Linked DNA regions of Styela clava. The protein of the gene in region 2 interacts with the protein of the main gene of each other region in a pairwise test. Links are inferred from orthologs where the notes say so. Each region holds a gene or a part of one and is shown on either strand. Other genes may lie near its edges.

The links.
Region 1: the proteins of zinc finger TRAF-type-containing protein 1-A-like (region 2) and ubiquitin-conjugating enzyme E2 K-like interact in a two-hybrid assay, tested with the Drosophila melanogaster proteins (2 studies listed by BioGRID). The link is inferred for Styela clava from reciprocal best matches to the Drosophila melanogaster genes CG32486 and Ubc4.

Annotation. Positions count from the first base shown.
Region 1 is NC_135262.1:10,413,209-10,421,413, forward strand, and holds the start of ubiquitin-conjugating enzyme E2 K-like, read right to left. Parts: upstream 4,079-8,205; 5' UTR 3,946-4,078; coding exon 3,889-3,945; intron 3,297-3,888; coding exon 3,209-3,296; intron 2,577-3,208; coding exon 2,435-2,576; intron 1,792-2,434; coding exon 1,628-1,791; intron 1,041-1,627; coding exon 973-1,040; intron 805-972; exon of another isoform or gene 591-804; intron 405-590; coding exon 333-404; 3' UTR 1-332. Other genes in the region: glutamyl-tRNA(Gln) amidotransferase subunit A, mitochondrial-like, read right to left, coding at 4,850-6,424. UniProt on the Drosophila melanogaster protein: Catalyzes the covalent attachment of ubiquitin to other proteins.
Region 2 is NC_135252.1:24,637,909-24,646,113, forward strand, and holds the start of zinc finger TRAF-type-containing protein 1-A-like, read right to left. Parts: upstream 3,777-8,205; 5' UTR 3,656-3,776; intron 1,949-3,655; 5' UTR 1,927-1,948; coding exon 1,765-1,926; intron 1,360-1,764; coding exon 1,249-1,359; intron 646-1,248; coding exon 467-645; intron 1-466. Other genes in the region: uncharacterized protein LOC144420931, read left to right, coding at 5,455-8,205.

The DNA.
Region 1 (8,205 bases), on a different chromosome or scaffold from region 2:
AACTCAAGACAAACAAAATCTGAGTCATAACATCATGTGTATTGTCTGAAACTATGTTTTAATGCATATTAGGGTGGAGTGACCAACTGAAGATACCACTCAAAAATCATCTTTCAACTTTCAAACGTATCTCTTTCAACAGAAATTTGAAATTTTTATATTAGAACTGTGACCTCATAAAATGTTATCCAATGATAACAAAGACTGCAGAAGTGTCTTATAGCCACAATGCTTTGAAACAGTGGCACACATTTGTCGTAGAAGGGAAAATGTCTTGGAACATGAATCAAGTTATACCGTAAAAAACTTTTTATAAATATAATAATCAAAAATCAACTTGTTAAATACTGTATTGCTGATTCCATATTCCAATTATGAGCAGAAAGTGCTTGCAATGCATCACTCTAAAAAAATGTTGAAAAATATGATAAGATTAATATCACTGCACAGTAGCTGGGAATGATCAAGAATTTGGTGGCGACTGGTAGATTCAGATATTTATTTCGTTGTGCATGAAAAATTGTGACGACACAATTAAAAATATATAATAATAAACGATCAATTTAAATAAAAAGATATTTTTTCCGCAGTTGACGGGAGTCGCAAGCAGACGGAAGACTACCAAAGTCGTTGTGTCAGTGACACCTTGTTTGCCGATTTCAGAAGTAGATGACATTGAACAACCATCTGCATATGGATATCTCAGTGGTATCATTCAATATCACTAATTCACCTAATATAAGAGACAGCTGAGAGGAACAAATTACCAGTTACCTGATTAGATATGATCATACTTTTCTCCCTTGATTCTGTAATCAGTTTTATTTATTGTTTCGTGATTATGGTTATGGAGTCGAAATACTTGGGCTAGCAATATTACAAGAAGCTAAAAATTGCACATGAATAACCCCTTTTCCATCATTGACTCCATTAGGGTCGAAAAACATAATTAATAATGAAAATGAATCTTACCTGAAAGAAACCCATTTCCGTGATTGTACGTATTTGTTTTTCAAAACTTTCCTCTTTTTTCCCTGGTGCTACAATAAAAGTAAATGGAATATTCATAATAGTCCTAGGTAATTGACTTTGATTTAGTATAAGCAGATATCTTTTTTGCAGGCTTTTTCAGAATACTGATAGATGAGAGTATTTTGAAAAGAAAAGGTTAGGTAATAAGCCAAGTGATATTTGTGATTGTGGTTTAACAAAATATTTGATTGCGAAGCAGGTGCGTGCTAAATACAGAAAATTAAAATTAGCCATATTTGATACTTCAATAAACTTCTTTTAACTTTAGGAATAATTTTATTTGGCAAAATTACCATGTCGAGCAATTGAAGGCTAACAGCATAACAAAACACAACAACTGCAAAAATAGTAAGAATCATTCAAATAATTCCTGCATTAACGAATACAACCTCATTGAAAGCTATTTACTCCATGCGTTCTTAGTTAAACATGACCATGTCATAGATTTTTAAATTTCATTATGTGTTCAGTTTATTCATCAGCTATTGAGTATTATATTTGCTTCGCATCGATTCACGAAGATACACGAAAGTGTAAACGAAAACGAATAATTGATAGAGTTGGTTGCAAATTGCGCTCAAATAAACCAACTTACCTTTTGCGAAATGTTGCGCCCAATATAATGCTGTTTTATTAAAAATATGTCGATTATCTTTAAACTGTTTTGCAACTACCGCATCTTGTGGATCATCTGGTTCTGCAGCCTGCAGTAAAGCTTGTAAGGATAATAAAACTGTTCGTAATGTAAGTGCAGCCGCCCTGTAATATAAAATTCACAGGATATTATTATTCTGCTTTATCTGCATGCATATACTATCGGCAAAGTAGCTGAGTATTTCGCTGTAGTTCGCTCGGCAGAGTCGCGCATCTTGCGAAGTGTTGGGAATAGGCTCGCCATCGAACCTCTTGCATGGGTTCATTCACAGTTTCGGATCCTGTAGGGGATACCGGTAATTATGTGCTGGAGGATTGCTGGACTGCTGCTTGCTGACGTGATTGGTACTCCTGTAGCGTGTGTACCAGGTTAAGGTGAGTGAGGCCATAATTTTATTCCGATTTTCCTTATTTTAGTTCTATTATGAGTACTGGGACTGTCCGTGTTAGTCAAATGAATTTACCCCCTGCTTATAGGCTTCAGTCCCTTTACACAACTTGATGTTAAGTGGGCGTACTAAACTAGTTACCTCCATATTGGTACACACACTTCTGGAGCGCCGACGTGATTTACCATATGAAAAAGTCGTCATATCGGTTATCCTGTGATGGGTCCTCTTCCATCCATCCTCTATTCAATTGGGAAAATATTGCGAATTTTTCTTCACTATCCCTGATGACCCAGACTTTTATTGTCTAACTACAACTTTTATTTTTATCATTTGAGCATGTTTTACATTCTACGTACCACTGATCTTTCAAGATATCGAGACATATTGCTCCAGTCACAGAACTAATGTTTGGATGCCAAATCTGTGTTAGAAATTTTATCTTCGGTGGATTGAATGGATATGTGTCTGGAATTTTGATATCCAAATCATAAGTTCCACCTTAAAAAAACAATCTAAATTAGATAAGCTATACAATTTATGAAATACAACATGAACAAAAAAGTCTACAACTACAAGATACTAAAACTGCCTTGGCATTGAGGAGCAATCAGAATAACGCCTTCAAAGAACTAAGTATTAGATGTTTCTCAGACTTTTAACCCAAAAATTTCTTTCTATAGGCTACTTTCTCATTGACAAATTTTTCATGCTCATTTTTGGATTTATTTTGCGAAATAAGCCACATCTAATGCAGCTTCTATGAGATCGTTTCACTGATTAGCCATTGTGGCAGAAATTAACAAGAAAATTGAAATAAGGACACTATTTGTGAGTGTCTCCAATAAGAAATATTACTGATGCTTAAATAAAGCATGTGATTGATAATCTAAATTTGACAAAGGACTATCTCAACATTTTGCTAGTGTTTTCAACTACAAAGAAGGGCCCTAATTGTAGAGTTACATTTATATCAAAGCAAATTCCACTTCTGAAAAGTGGAGATATAATACGAATAGGTAACTGTGTCAATTATTTTGTGGCAGCTACTGGTATGTAAAAACGAAACATACGAATAGGCAATTTATTTTTATCAATGCACTCTAGAAAATAGACATAACAATTGGGTATACCAGCATAAGGTGTTCCTGGTGGGCCTTTTATCTGTCCTCTCAATTCTGTCAGTTTACTTTCACAAGTGATCGTTATAAACAAATCTTTCTGTAACACAGATAACAGTTTATATCAAGGGCTGTAAATATTAGAGTTCAAAATGCATTGAATGCTTATTGAATATTGGTACTAATATCCAAAAAGTGAATAACATATTATGGTATTTTATTCATGCTACAGCATCCTTGCGTTACACGCATACGAATCCACTAGCGTAAAGGCATTGAGAAAGGATTGGGAGTTAGTCTCGCACACCTCTACTGAGAGTAACATATTCTCTTCTCACAAAATAGCATGTATGTTAGAAAACATTCATTTCTAACTGGGAGTCCCAGCCAACGGCGGGTCGTGAAAGGGCTCAATAGAGGATGTGGTGAAATATTTTTCGACACTAACTTATCTTATTAAAACAAAATATCGATCAAATTTGAAAGATTTGGAACCAGTACTGGAGGAGCCGAGCTTACCATGTTAGATGGAAGTAGAGCCTGACCTACCAGAAATTTTAGTGGTTCCAGCTACCAATCATCTTATCATTTTTCTAAATTTTGAATTTTAATAATATGGTAAATAAATGGTTGACAGTTATTGGTATTAATTATCCCCTCTACTGCTTCTACTTAAATCATGATTGGCATACCTCATCTTCAGCGTCTTTGAGCTCTCTCTTAATCCTCATAACAGCTATGCTGCTCATTCCTAAGTTTGGATCTTTATTAAACTTCTATGAAATATAGTTTGCTTCAAGATAATCACTAAAGAAAATTATCTACTGAAAAATGAAAAAGTGTGGTTCAATTATGTGCGATAAACTCGGACTTTTAACAATATTTTCATAAACCGCATAATGCAAAAAGTCAATTACAAAAAACTTAATAAGTCAATTACAAAAAGAACCTCATCAACAAAAAAGACTAATAGTTTGGAACAGTGGTTTCCAACCTTTTTTCTGTTACCAAACTGTCAGACTCAAAGATCTATTAGACTCTCTTTCAGCCCACATTCTCAATCCTTCTTGTGTGCAAAAAACAAAAAACAGAAGAGACACCCTATCCAAATTTTACCGCAATTGCTTATTGGCAATTTTGTTAATAAATCAGTGTCAAAATTTTGAAATAGTAATACCATCGATAATATCACATTGGCACAAGAGCCAATTTTTTGATGGATGGGAAAAATAAAATTGACTATGACAAGTAAATATCAATACCCCTCAATGAGAACCTAACTAAATGGCCCTTATTTTCAGTTGCGAGTAGGTAATTAAAAATGAGCTTTTTCGAATACTTGCAACTAATCGAATAAGTTGTCTTGAACCTCATTATTTTAAATAGGTAGAAAACAATTTTAAATTGGTCAATAACACAATATTATTATTAATAGTCAACTTCAATGCATTGATAGTAATAAAAGGCTCTCAGAAATAGAAAATACCATAGGTTGCCAAAGAATACTCCAGACACAAGTTTCGACAATATCACGTTATCACCCCATCTCAATTAATTTTCAAGACCACTCTACTCCCAACGAACACACTTTCCATGATATTACTAATGACAAATCAGAAACTGCTTTGAAACAAATATATTAAAGGGAACACTTCAAGACATCTGTTGTAAAATAGGTTTACTAGCATTGGAAGAGTCAAGTTGTGTTGTAAAATGTTGTTCCAAATTAGGGAACTGTGCTACTTTCTCAAGAAAAGCAGCGGCTTTCAAAATTTTTGGCTCACTAAAGTGTCTACCAGTAATTTGGAGTCCAATGGGCATATTATTTCTAGATAATCGAGTGGGTATATTTATGGCAGGAACACCAGCGATATTTGCAGCTTGAGTTAATACATCTTGCTCAGCTGATCGCGTCCTATTGTCCTCCGTTATAAATTCAGAGTATAATGGCGCATCAGAAATTACAGTGGGGGCAAGGAGAACATCGCAAATACCAGATGAATTAGAATCATCACTATCACAACTTGTATACAAGTTATGTGCTCCAAAAACTTTCTGGTAATCTTTTAATATAAGTCTCCGCACTTTTTGCGCTTTATAAAAATACTTTTCTATATTATCTTTTAAAAGAAAATAATTTCCACTAAGAATTCTACTTCGCACAGTATCATTGAATCCCTCTCTCCGAGAAACTGCGTACATTGCATATGTAGATTCATTTATAGACGACCTATGTCCATACTTAAGACCATCAAATCTTGCCATATTTGAGGCAACTTCCACATTACCGAGGATATGATAGCAAATTATTGAATATTTCATATGGGGCAAGCTCACAAGTGTTACTTCAGCACCAGCATTTTCAAACTGGTCCGCTGCCCATCGCCACATATCTACAACCTCCTGAGACATGCCATGAACTAGGCATTCCTTTGGTATACCAACTTTTAATCCTTTGACAGAAATATCATAATTTTCATTTAAGCATATTTTCAATTTCTTGCTTTCTATTGAAGTGGAGTCCATGATATCTCTCCCTTTTAATGTATCTAAAACAATAGCAGCATCCTCTACTGATCTTGCAAAAATGGAAGGACAATCCATTGAATTAACAAGAGGAATTAAACCATGACGAGATATTAATCCATAAGTAGGTTTTAAACCAACAACCCCACAATAAGAAGCTGGATTTCTCACAGAACCGCCGGTGTCCGATCCCAGAGCAAAATGGCAACATCCAGTTGCGACTGCCACAGCACCCCCACCTGAACTGCCCCCAGCAACTCTCCAATCTTTGCTAGACGGATTCAATAATACGTCAGGTGACCAAGGATTTTTCACAGGACCGTAGATAGATTCTATAGATCCCGACCCCATGGCAAATTCATCCATGTTGTTTTTTCCAATGAGTTGTGAGCCATGGTTTAATAATTTATTAAGTACAGTAGCATTGTATGTTGGTTTATAATTTGCCAACATTTTAGATCCACATGTCGTGAGTATACCTTCGGAAGAATAATTATCCTTCAGTGAGAATGTAGTTCCGGTCAGTATGTGATTTTTTTGATTGGTGACCTCATTGTTACCAGCCTTTCTTGCAACTGTGATGAAAGCATTGAGATGCTTAGTTTCATCTATTCTAGTTAATGATGATTTGAATATATCACTTTTTGATGTTTCATTTTTTTGAAGTGATCTAGAAATCGCTCTTATGCCCTTGAAATGCATTTGTTATCCTGATTTCAAGTATGATCTGTCATTATAGAAATTTGATTAAAATAATTCATGAATTATGAATGAATTCATAAATTAAATAAACATAACTCGTAATTTTTCGTTTGTTACCCCTTTAAACATCCATAGCAATGCAGTACAGCAGTAAACAAAGTATAATAAGCATACCATGTAGTAAACAAGGCAATGCTAGCCGTCACACTGCTAAACGTATCAACACATTGGATGATTGAACGTTGTGGGAAATATTATAGGTGAAGAATCACTAACACTGTGATTAGTCACCACCAGACCCGAGGTAGCCGTAACAATCAGCAGTTATGTGAGTCATCCTACGGCGACAATCAAGGGTCAGAGAGAGAGAGAGAGAGAGAGAGAGAGATTTATTTCGTCAACCAGAAAAAAACAGTCATAATAATAAATAAATAGTGGCTATAAAAAAGTACGCTTTTTTCGGTGTAGACTGGAAGGAGCGATACGACCATGCGGTCATCGAAGTCAGCCCCCTCCAAGTTTACGCTGATAAATTCACAGTAAAATAAGATTATTAGAAATGGTTGAAGTTCACGACACAAAATTTGAAAAAACAAACAAAAAAATGAAGTAAATAAAAGTAATTAATTTTTTTTCCGTGAAATCAATTTTTAAATGATGAGATTTGAAAGTGAGGAGTAAGACCCACAAATTAAAAAAAACAATTTTGGCTATTGGACTACTATACTCAATGTAGATTTGGACGCAAGGAGCCAGCCTTACATGTACGAATGAATTTCAGGAGATAAACAACATGGTACTCATGTAAAACAATTGGTTCAAGAGAGGAATCAACCTTCCAACGAGAATATCGGTCAGAGACCGAGGACTTATCGATCAAAAGTCAGGGGATCCCCCAAAAAAACGCTCTTACTCCATAGTGACAACTTGTGTCCCATCACTATTGATTAATAACTCGCTAATTATACGATATACTTCGCCCAAAATCAATAGGCTTCTGGTCCGAGATATGATGAATGCACATGAAAAATCTGGAGCAGATTCGATCTCGTTTTCGTGAGATATCGCGTGCATCTAACAGACAGACAGACAAATACCTATCAACATACTTACCGATTAAAATCGATAAGTAACAAGAAAAATTTATGGCAAATAGGTGACTGAAAAAATATTATATACCCCAATTAAGAAACAATTTTGGTAAACATACGATCGATAGTCATATATATAAATACAATTTAGGTTGAATAACTATTATTAGTAAGCCTTTCAAACAAGACAACAACTGTGGCCTATTAAAAACTTAAACCCAATATTTAAATAGGTAAACGATGACTATTATTTTGAGCAGCAATAAATCAGCCTGACAAATAAAAGGCAGTTTTTGCAAATATACAAGTAGCCCTCATATATAAGTGGTGCGGTGCAGAGGTGCGGTGGCAAGAGTATTTTCGACCAGAAATAAGTATGTAACATTGGCAAATTAGATAATACAGCAATATTGGCAATGTTAGTCTATATCAGGGATGGCAAACCTTTTTTACTGGATGGGTCAAAATTATACTTTTATTATGGTGGGTCATAGATATTTAATCAAAGTTTACATCAATGAGAAACTTCTTTTCAGCAAGTCTTATAATCCTTGGTTGGTATTATGTTGTTTTGAGCTTGACATATAACATGAAGCACTTACAGATACCGGTATACAGTTAAGACTAAGGCAGTAAGGACAGCACTAAAAGGCTGAAGGAAGAAACGGATGAAGTGGAGGGAAAACGGAA
Region 2 (8,205 bases):
TAAGGGCCGGTGCTTGGATACCCGCTCGATGTAAAAGCTGATTTTTCAGTGGTAGAGAACAATAGGAAATAAGAAGTGCTTTTGTCACAATGCTGTTGAATTTTAAGCGCTGGTGGATAACACTCACCCCTTAGACGTCCAATTACATAACAGATAGCATTGATTACGTAACACTGTGGTTCTCAAACTGGGTGACGCGACGACCAAGTGCGTCATTTCAATATTGATGGGGCGTCGCAAAACTTTTCTTATTTTGCGGATTTGTACCTGCGGTGCGTAGAAAAAGTCAAAATTTTCGTTATTCTCGTTTAAATCATACTTGAGAACTGGAAATGACAATAAGGTTTGAATAAGGGCCCGGTTGGTGAGTTCGGATAAAAAAATATGGGCCCGGGCTACAAAACGAGCAAATACGGTAGTTCCATATTGGTACACACACTTCTAGAGTGTCAAGAAAATCACAAACCTGCATTTGACTAGCCTATCAGCACAGTCTTCGGTCTGATGACCTTTAATCATGTGTCGAGCAAAACTTCCGCAACAATATACGCAAACGACCGGTAATTCTGATATTGTTTTCTCTGCAGTGAGATTTCTTGTGCAAGATCCGTGGCCGATGTCAACGCGGCAAGATGGACACGTTGGCTAGGAAGGGGTAGCTAATGTAAAGTCTTGACAATGAAAAAAAAGTAAGCGGAAATGAAATTTAAGCTGATGTGGTAGCGAACCACAGATACAAATTTGGAGTTATTATGCAATAGGATGCTTATTTATAAGGTGAATCACCGACTTTCTTGGAGGTTCTAGTTTATCATTTTGATTCTACAGATACACAACAAGTCTTGGCCGTAAACATACTAGTACTGTTTGTCTGGGAAACAGACTAGAGTTCGCTTGCCTACAAATTGACCTCATCCATATAAAAATCAATAATACAATTCATATAACACAATTTTAGTTCAATTTTCCATTTGTAACACAGAACAAAAAATGTACAACACAGACAAAAGTAACTTTAAGAATGATCTGGCAGCATTGCACAACCTTCTTTCAGATGTGATTATTCTGCCTAACCATCAATTTCTAGTCATAATCTCTTGTAATATTTACTTGCTCCCTCTTTCAACTCAGAATTATAATTGAAAATCAACGAGGCGATACCAGACAGCATTCACCCACCCGTTTCAGATGAGAATTTTCTGTCTAGTTACGCTTCAGCAATTTTCTAGAGGAAGAATAAATACCCACTTGTTCATCTTTTAACTTTGAATCAGCAAGTAAGTGGTTATAGCAGGCAGCACACATGAGATGTCCTCTGCAGCATTGGTAGCATGCTGATGAAGGCAAGTCAAAACAGACCTAAGAAATAAATGTGAGATAGATAATTCATTTATTTTTCATTTTTTAAGATACAAAAATGACAACACACAGAACGTAATGAAACAGACTAGATAGTTTTTAAGGCCTTTAGCACTCATGGCCCCCCTGTTTATCAATCCAGTGGTATTTATAGTGTTATTTTGTATGGTAGTTTCCAAATATCATTATGTTCGAGCAATTCATGCTCAACAAAGTGTAAACACCCTGTGAAATAATGAAAGTAATAAAGGAAACAGAAAAGAACAGGAGTTTTGAACCTAGCATTGTGACTCCCTTCCAGCTGCTCTGTGGTCGCTTGGGGGGTCCCCAGGCCCCAAGTGCTAATCCATGCTCCAGTCCCTGAATTGTACTAATCACATATCAAAAAAACCAATGCAAACTTACATTACAAGACAATATATGGCTCAATCTGTCTTCAAGGTTTGAATTCTTCTTTCTCTTTGTTGGAGGCTCGTCTGAAAACTTTGAGGTAGGTTTAGGTGTTGATTCATCCGACTCGACTTCTCGCTCATGGACAGGTACAGAAGACGTGGCTTGCGATTCCATGGTGTTATAACTAATATTAAGACTATATAAGTATAAACAAATGAAAAGAATATTTCAGTTTTGATATTTTGAATCCGTGGTGGACTGTGACTGGTGGGAATATTCACATACTAACATGCAAGTGCTCTTTTCTTATGCTCAGATGGCCAGAATTCTCCATATTTAATAATCTATAAATTACAAAATAAACCATCTAACCATTTATTTATTTATCTAGTGATACTGTTATCATTCGCTCCTCTGCAGTATGGCACGTCATGCCATTAGAAATACGCATGCCATCGCTAATTATTTGAGGAAGGATTGCTGAACTCCTCGCAACTGTAGGATGATTGACAAAATCGCTGGTCGATTATGGCTTCCTCCACCATCAAGTCTATGCTGCGGAAATAAAGTACTGACTAACTAATCCTATACCCGGCATGAAATGGTTACCGGACGAGAGGAAGTGGTTTGCTGTACGACTAGGCAGTCCTATCATCTTCTTTTTCTTCTAGTAAAAAAATGGGAAAATCTATCCTTCTTACAAAGGACATGTTTTATTAAAGTCATGTTAAAAAAACTAAGAAATTTTCCCTAGAAGTCAGCTGACTAACACAAGAGTAACAAAAAGAGTGAGGGTATTAAATTATAATGAATAATGACACGTCTCATGATCCTCTACTTGAGGATTTAATTTCCTCCGGATAGGATTGAGATAGATTATACATATTTATCCGAGGAGAGAAAAAGGCCAATAAGATGGCTTAGTTTTCAGATGCATGGACGCTGCTTATGTTGAATTCGATAAGAACTGTGTTTTTCCGAAAATAAGACAGTCTCTTATTTCAATTTTCTTTCGAAAAATAACACTAGGGCTTATTTCCGGGGGATGTCTTTTATTTTCATTTATCAAAAACTAAATTACAAAGTGAAGAATTACCAGATTTTTAAATTTAAAAAATTTGAAAACCGATATCCATTTACTTAAATAACACTTTTTCCTCTCTCACACGTTTTAGAATAATCATTTAAAACAAGTTGGAGAGATTTCTTGCTATTGACTAGATCAAAAAAAAATTCGCGCTATTGACTAGGTCTTGTTTTAAAGTGAGGGCTTATATTAAAATCAATGTTTCAGGGGGTGGGGAATTTATCTTCGCATTTAGTTCAAATATTATCCTTTACATATTTAGTTGTTTGTTTTCGGAAGCATGGACTTGATTGTGGAGGAAGCCGTAACCGACCAGCAGTTACGTGAACCACCCCACGTCGGCGAAGAGTCCAGCAATCCTCTCGCACATAACCATCCCTGCGTGGGATTCGAACCTGCGAACCCATGCAGAGTGATCAGAGGTGCGGTGGCGAGCGTATTCCTAACACTTAGCACGATGAGTCACACCGCCTCAATAACAACAACGCCACAATAACAACAACGTAGGCAATACACAACACACTGACTAAATTCAAACCTAACCACAAAACGCTGACGAAACACGATAATGGCGCATACGTACTGCACTGCCGTGAATACTAAAATATGATACCCCATTATGCCCTACCAACTGACCAACGACTGAAAGAAAACAAATTGCAGTATTGCAATTGCAAGGTTACCGTACTGCTATGGGTACGGCACCGTATCGTACCGAAGTCCAGAATACAAACTTCACAAATGATGGGGAATACCGGGGTACATCAAACATTACACGCACGTGGCGTTCATATTTAACAAAATATAAGGCATTACCTTTTCTCCTTCGGCGTGAATTTTAACCGTTGGGTGTGAGCAACTGCGACGCTGACCTCTTTTGTTTGGACAGCTGATCACAAAGAAGTCACGTGTCATAACAATTAGGTCATCAATAGCCAATCAGGAGTCGACAAGGCTGGAAACTTTGCGATCTTGCGAGTTGTTTTGGTTATTTTGGGAGAAATTCCGGTAGGAGGGAATAGGATTTACATATTTATTTCGGGGGAGAGGGAAGCCGATGAGACGGTCCAACCATATGGCGACTCACGGCCTCTCGTCCGGTGACCTGTCTATGTCGGGATTAGTTAATAAGCTAATTGTTCCAGGTGCATGGGCCCTTCGGCCTTCAAGTCCGATGGAAGTATAGCGGGGACTGACTGACAATGGTAGGTTTTGTCAATTTGTAACGAAGAAGGAAAGTCAGTATGATGGATTAATAATTTAACGGACCTTCGCCTGGTAATCAGTTCAGATATATCCAGCTCACGTGAATTATCTGGTTATCTGTTTCGGCATGTGGAGAAAATCAAGTTCCCGAGCCCTTAACTCAAAAAATGGTAGCTATGAAACCATCCGACACAAGCTGAAAATAGGTGAATTTTGATGAATTGAAAATGACCGGACCCTGTTACTGGTTACAATGGGAGTGTTTCAGTTGGCTTTGCATTCAAAATTTTATCGTCCGGCAGCCCCGGTATGATGCTTATTTATATAGTTTATTTTTTCCAACCAGTAAAAAATATTGCACACAAATTACGAGAAAATGATATTTCAAGTTTTACTAGGGAGTTTACACTTGGGATACACGGGAAACCAAAACTGGTTATCGAGCAGTGGTTTGAACATTTGACTGATTTATCTTGGTACTACTTACTTTTGGTGTGTTTACGTATGGTTCACTGCATCGCGATTATTGGCTGATTACTCGATTACTTCTTGTTATGGTTAACTGTCTAGAGCTTTAATCTGTCTTTAGATCTGTTCTCATAAGCTTTTTAATGGTGCTATAGTCATTGGATATGAATAATCTATTTCTTAAGTTTCTTACATTGGGATAATCTGTTCTGACAAAGCCTCATTTAAATGTAAGTGAATTGGTATATTCTTGCTTTGTATTGTGCCTGATTGTCTGTGCTCATTTTAATATTCATCTTTATTGTTTGTCAGGTCACTTTGTCTTACTGATATCTGGATTAAATCACTTTGGGAGAAATCTATTCGTTTCATTTCGGGATATTAGTTAAAGAGACATAGTAGGCAAGGGTGATTTGTCAATGGGCAGAAATCCAAACTAGTGACATTTAATGATACTGCACCTACACCTACAAACTGGATTCTGAATCAAGCAGCTCTTCTTCAACCTTTCGAGGATTCAGCAATACATCAAAGCAAGAATGCCAACTAACAATGGCAGAATATTTTCAAGGTCAGAATTTCAAACAACTCAAGAGTAAGTTTCCGGTACTCAAAGTAAATTTGGAAAGAATTTTAACACGATTTGAGCACTCTCTGGAAGGAAGAGATCTCTCGTAATCCAGCGAACCTTAGGCGACTAGCTCACGAAATTTCTCTCTTCTGCCGACGTATGGAAGATCTTGGGTTAAAACAGGATGCAAACTCGGTTATTTCTGTCAATAGAGCATTAGAGTGTCTAGATGCAGACACTGCACTGCGATATAATAGTTCCAGCAAAGGTAATTATAACTTGGAATCTATAACGAATTTTCTGAGATCTGAAGCTACAGCGTTGGAAATATCTGGTAACTTTATATAACTTTATCAGTCAAACCGAGAATATGAGGTTTCGACCGAGACAAAACCAGTCGCCAAGATCTAATTTCAATACGGTTAATCATGCTACAGACGAGAATGATAACATGGGTTCAGTTCAGCCACGTCAAAGGACAGTCACTTGTATTTTTGGATGTGGAATTAAGCACCGCCTTATAGACTGCAACAAATATCAAAACCTATCAATTCCTGAAAGAAAAAGCTTTATAGCAGATGATCGAAGATGTTTTATATGTCTAGGAACTCACTTTGCAAGAAATTGTGCAAGAACAACAGCCGATAGCTGTGTAAATTGTAACCAAAGACAGCATCATTGGTCATTATGTACCGGAAAAGTACAGGGAAATTACAATACAATGAGAAATTCTGGTATGAACGACTCGAATTTGGAAAGTCAACATATTCACTCTAATGCAGCAGTATTCAACCAATCTCAGATGCATTCAAGACAATTGAGCGCTTTTAATTTGGATTATTCTCCATTACTTGTTGCAGAAGTGCAGGCGAGTGACAAAACATGGATCAAGGCAAATTTCTTTCTTGATGGTGGCAGTAACCATTCTTTGGTAAGACGTAATTTTGTAAAATCATTGAAACAAAAGGCAATAGGTCATGGAACAATTCGGTTTGATGTCGCAGGAGGAGCCATTCATGAAGAACCTTCTGAAGATTATAATTTAAAAATTAGACCTCTTTCACGAGACCAGATATTTGATATCAGAGTTACGGCTGTGAGAAAACCTTGTCACGATGTTACACCAATTCCGCCATCTATTTTTAAACAGTTTAAATATCTTAGAGGAATTCAGGATAAAATACCAGTTGGGCAAAAAACAGTCGATGTTCTTGTTGGTAGAGATTATGCACCTTTAATTCAAACAATGCATTCATTACGTTCGCCAATTGATCCCGATAATCATCCTTCAGCAGCTTTCACATCTCTTGGATGCTATCTATATGGAGGCATTATTCAAGCACCGCAACGATCTTTCAATCATGTAGCAAATATTAATAGTTTTTCATCATTAGAAAATGAAGAGTTGCGCAAGTTTTTCCATGGTGAAGTTCTTGGAGTGCAACCCACAACTTTGTGTGTTTGTTCTAACTCAGAAATTGCAGAATCAGCATTTATCAAACATGTAAAAGCGACAACCAATATTGGTGCTGATGGCCGAGTTTGTGTCAAAATGCCATGGAAACCTGGTTTCCCAGAAAAATTGCACAACAATTTTGAGAAGGCGTATGAACAAATGAAAAAACGGGAACAAGAATTGTATAGAAAAGGAAAAACGGAAGAGTATAATATGGAGATTAAAAATCTGCTTCAGCGAGGCGTAGTACGACGACTAACACCGGTTGAAACGAAAACGGCTAAAGTTGAAAATGCATGGTACCTCAATCATCGTATCGTAGAACGTCCGGATAAAACCTCAACAAAATTAAGAATAGTATTTGATTCTGCGTGTCCTTTTAAGGGCACATGTCTCAATGATGGTTTAGAGAAAGGCCCCAGCTTTGCGAATTCTTTGTTCAGATGTTTCATGGCATGGCGAGCTGATAGTGTGGCTATTGCTGGTGATATATCGAAAATGTTTAATCAAATTCAAATGGCAGAAGTCGATCAGAAATTTCATCGTTTCCTTTGGCGCTATGGTGATTCATCAGTGCAACCAACAATCTTTCAATGGCTTCGGGTTATGTTCGGAGATAAATCTAGTCCTGACTTGGCATGCTTTACTATTAAATTTTTAGCCGATAAATTTCGAAAAGATCATCCTCTTGGAGCTGTTGTATTGGACAAAGATACATACATTGATGACGTCAGTCATTCTGTTTCGAATCACATTCTTGCAAACAAGGTTATCAATGATGTTGATCAAATACCTATTCGTGGAAAATTCTCTATAAAGATTTGGAACTCAAACCATCCTGAAGTAGATCAAAATCCTGGTGAAAAAGTTGTTGATGTACTTGGTCATTCCTGGAATAAAACTGATGACAGTTTCAGTTCAAAATTCAAAGACATTTCTTTCATGCAAACAGGATTTTCTAAAAGAAAAGCTTTAGCATGTGTAATGAAATTGTGGGACCCTCTGGGTTATTTACTTCCAGTCACAATGCAGTATAGAATAGATCTTCAAAAGATCTGGGCAGATGGATTTAGCTGGGACCAAACTTTGCCAGATGATGTGGTCAAATGCTGGTATAACAATGTTCAAGAAATGTCCAAGTTAGTTCAAGTTTCAACTCCAAGATGTCTGAAACCTGAAAACACAACTGGACCTCCTCAACTGCACGCATTTTCAGACGGTGGAGATTTAGCCTATGGCACTTGTGTGTTCCTACGGTGGCCTACAACAGGTGGAGTTAAGCTAACATTCGTTGCAGCAGAGGGATTTGTGGCGCCACTCAAACACAAAAGTACTCCAAGAAAGGAGCTAATGGGAGCAATAGGCGTGAGCAGATTGGTGCATGAAATAAGTAGAGCACTACCGTACAATATTGCATTCAAATATTTCTGGATAGACAGCAAAGTTGTTATTTATTGGTTGAACTCCCAATCTGAAAAATTCAAACCATTCGTTGCTTCAAGAGTACAAGAATTTCAAGATACACATAAGAATCTAACAAAAGAAGTCAAATTCATTCCAAGCCTTCATGAAGGACCTGAATTTCTAAGGCAACCAATGGAATATTGGCCGAATGATGATGACTTAAAATTAGATGAATTACGTCAAGAAATATTGGAAGAAAAA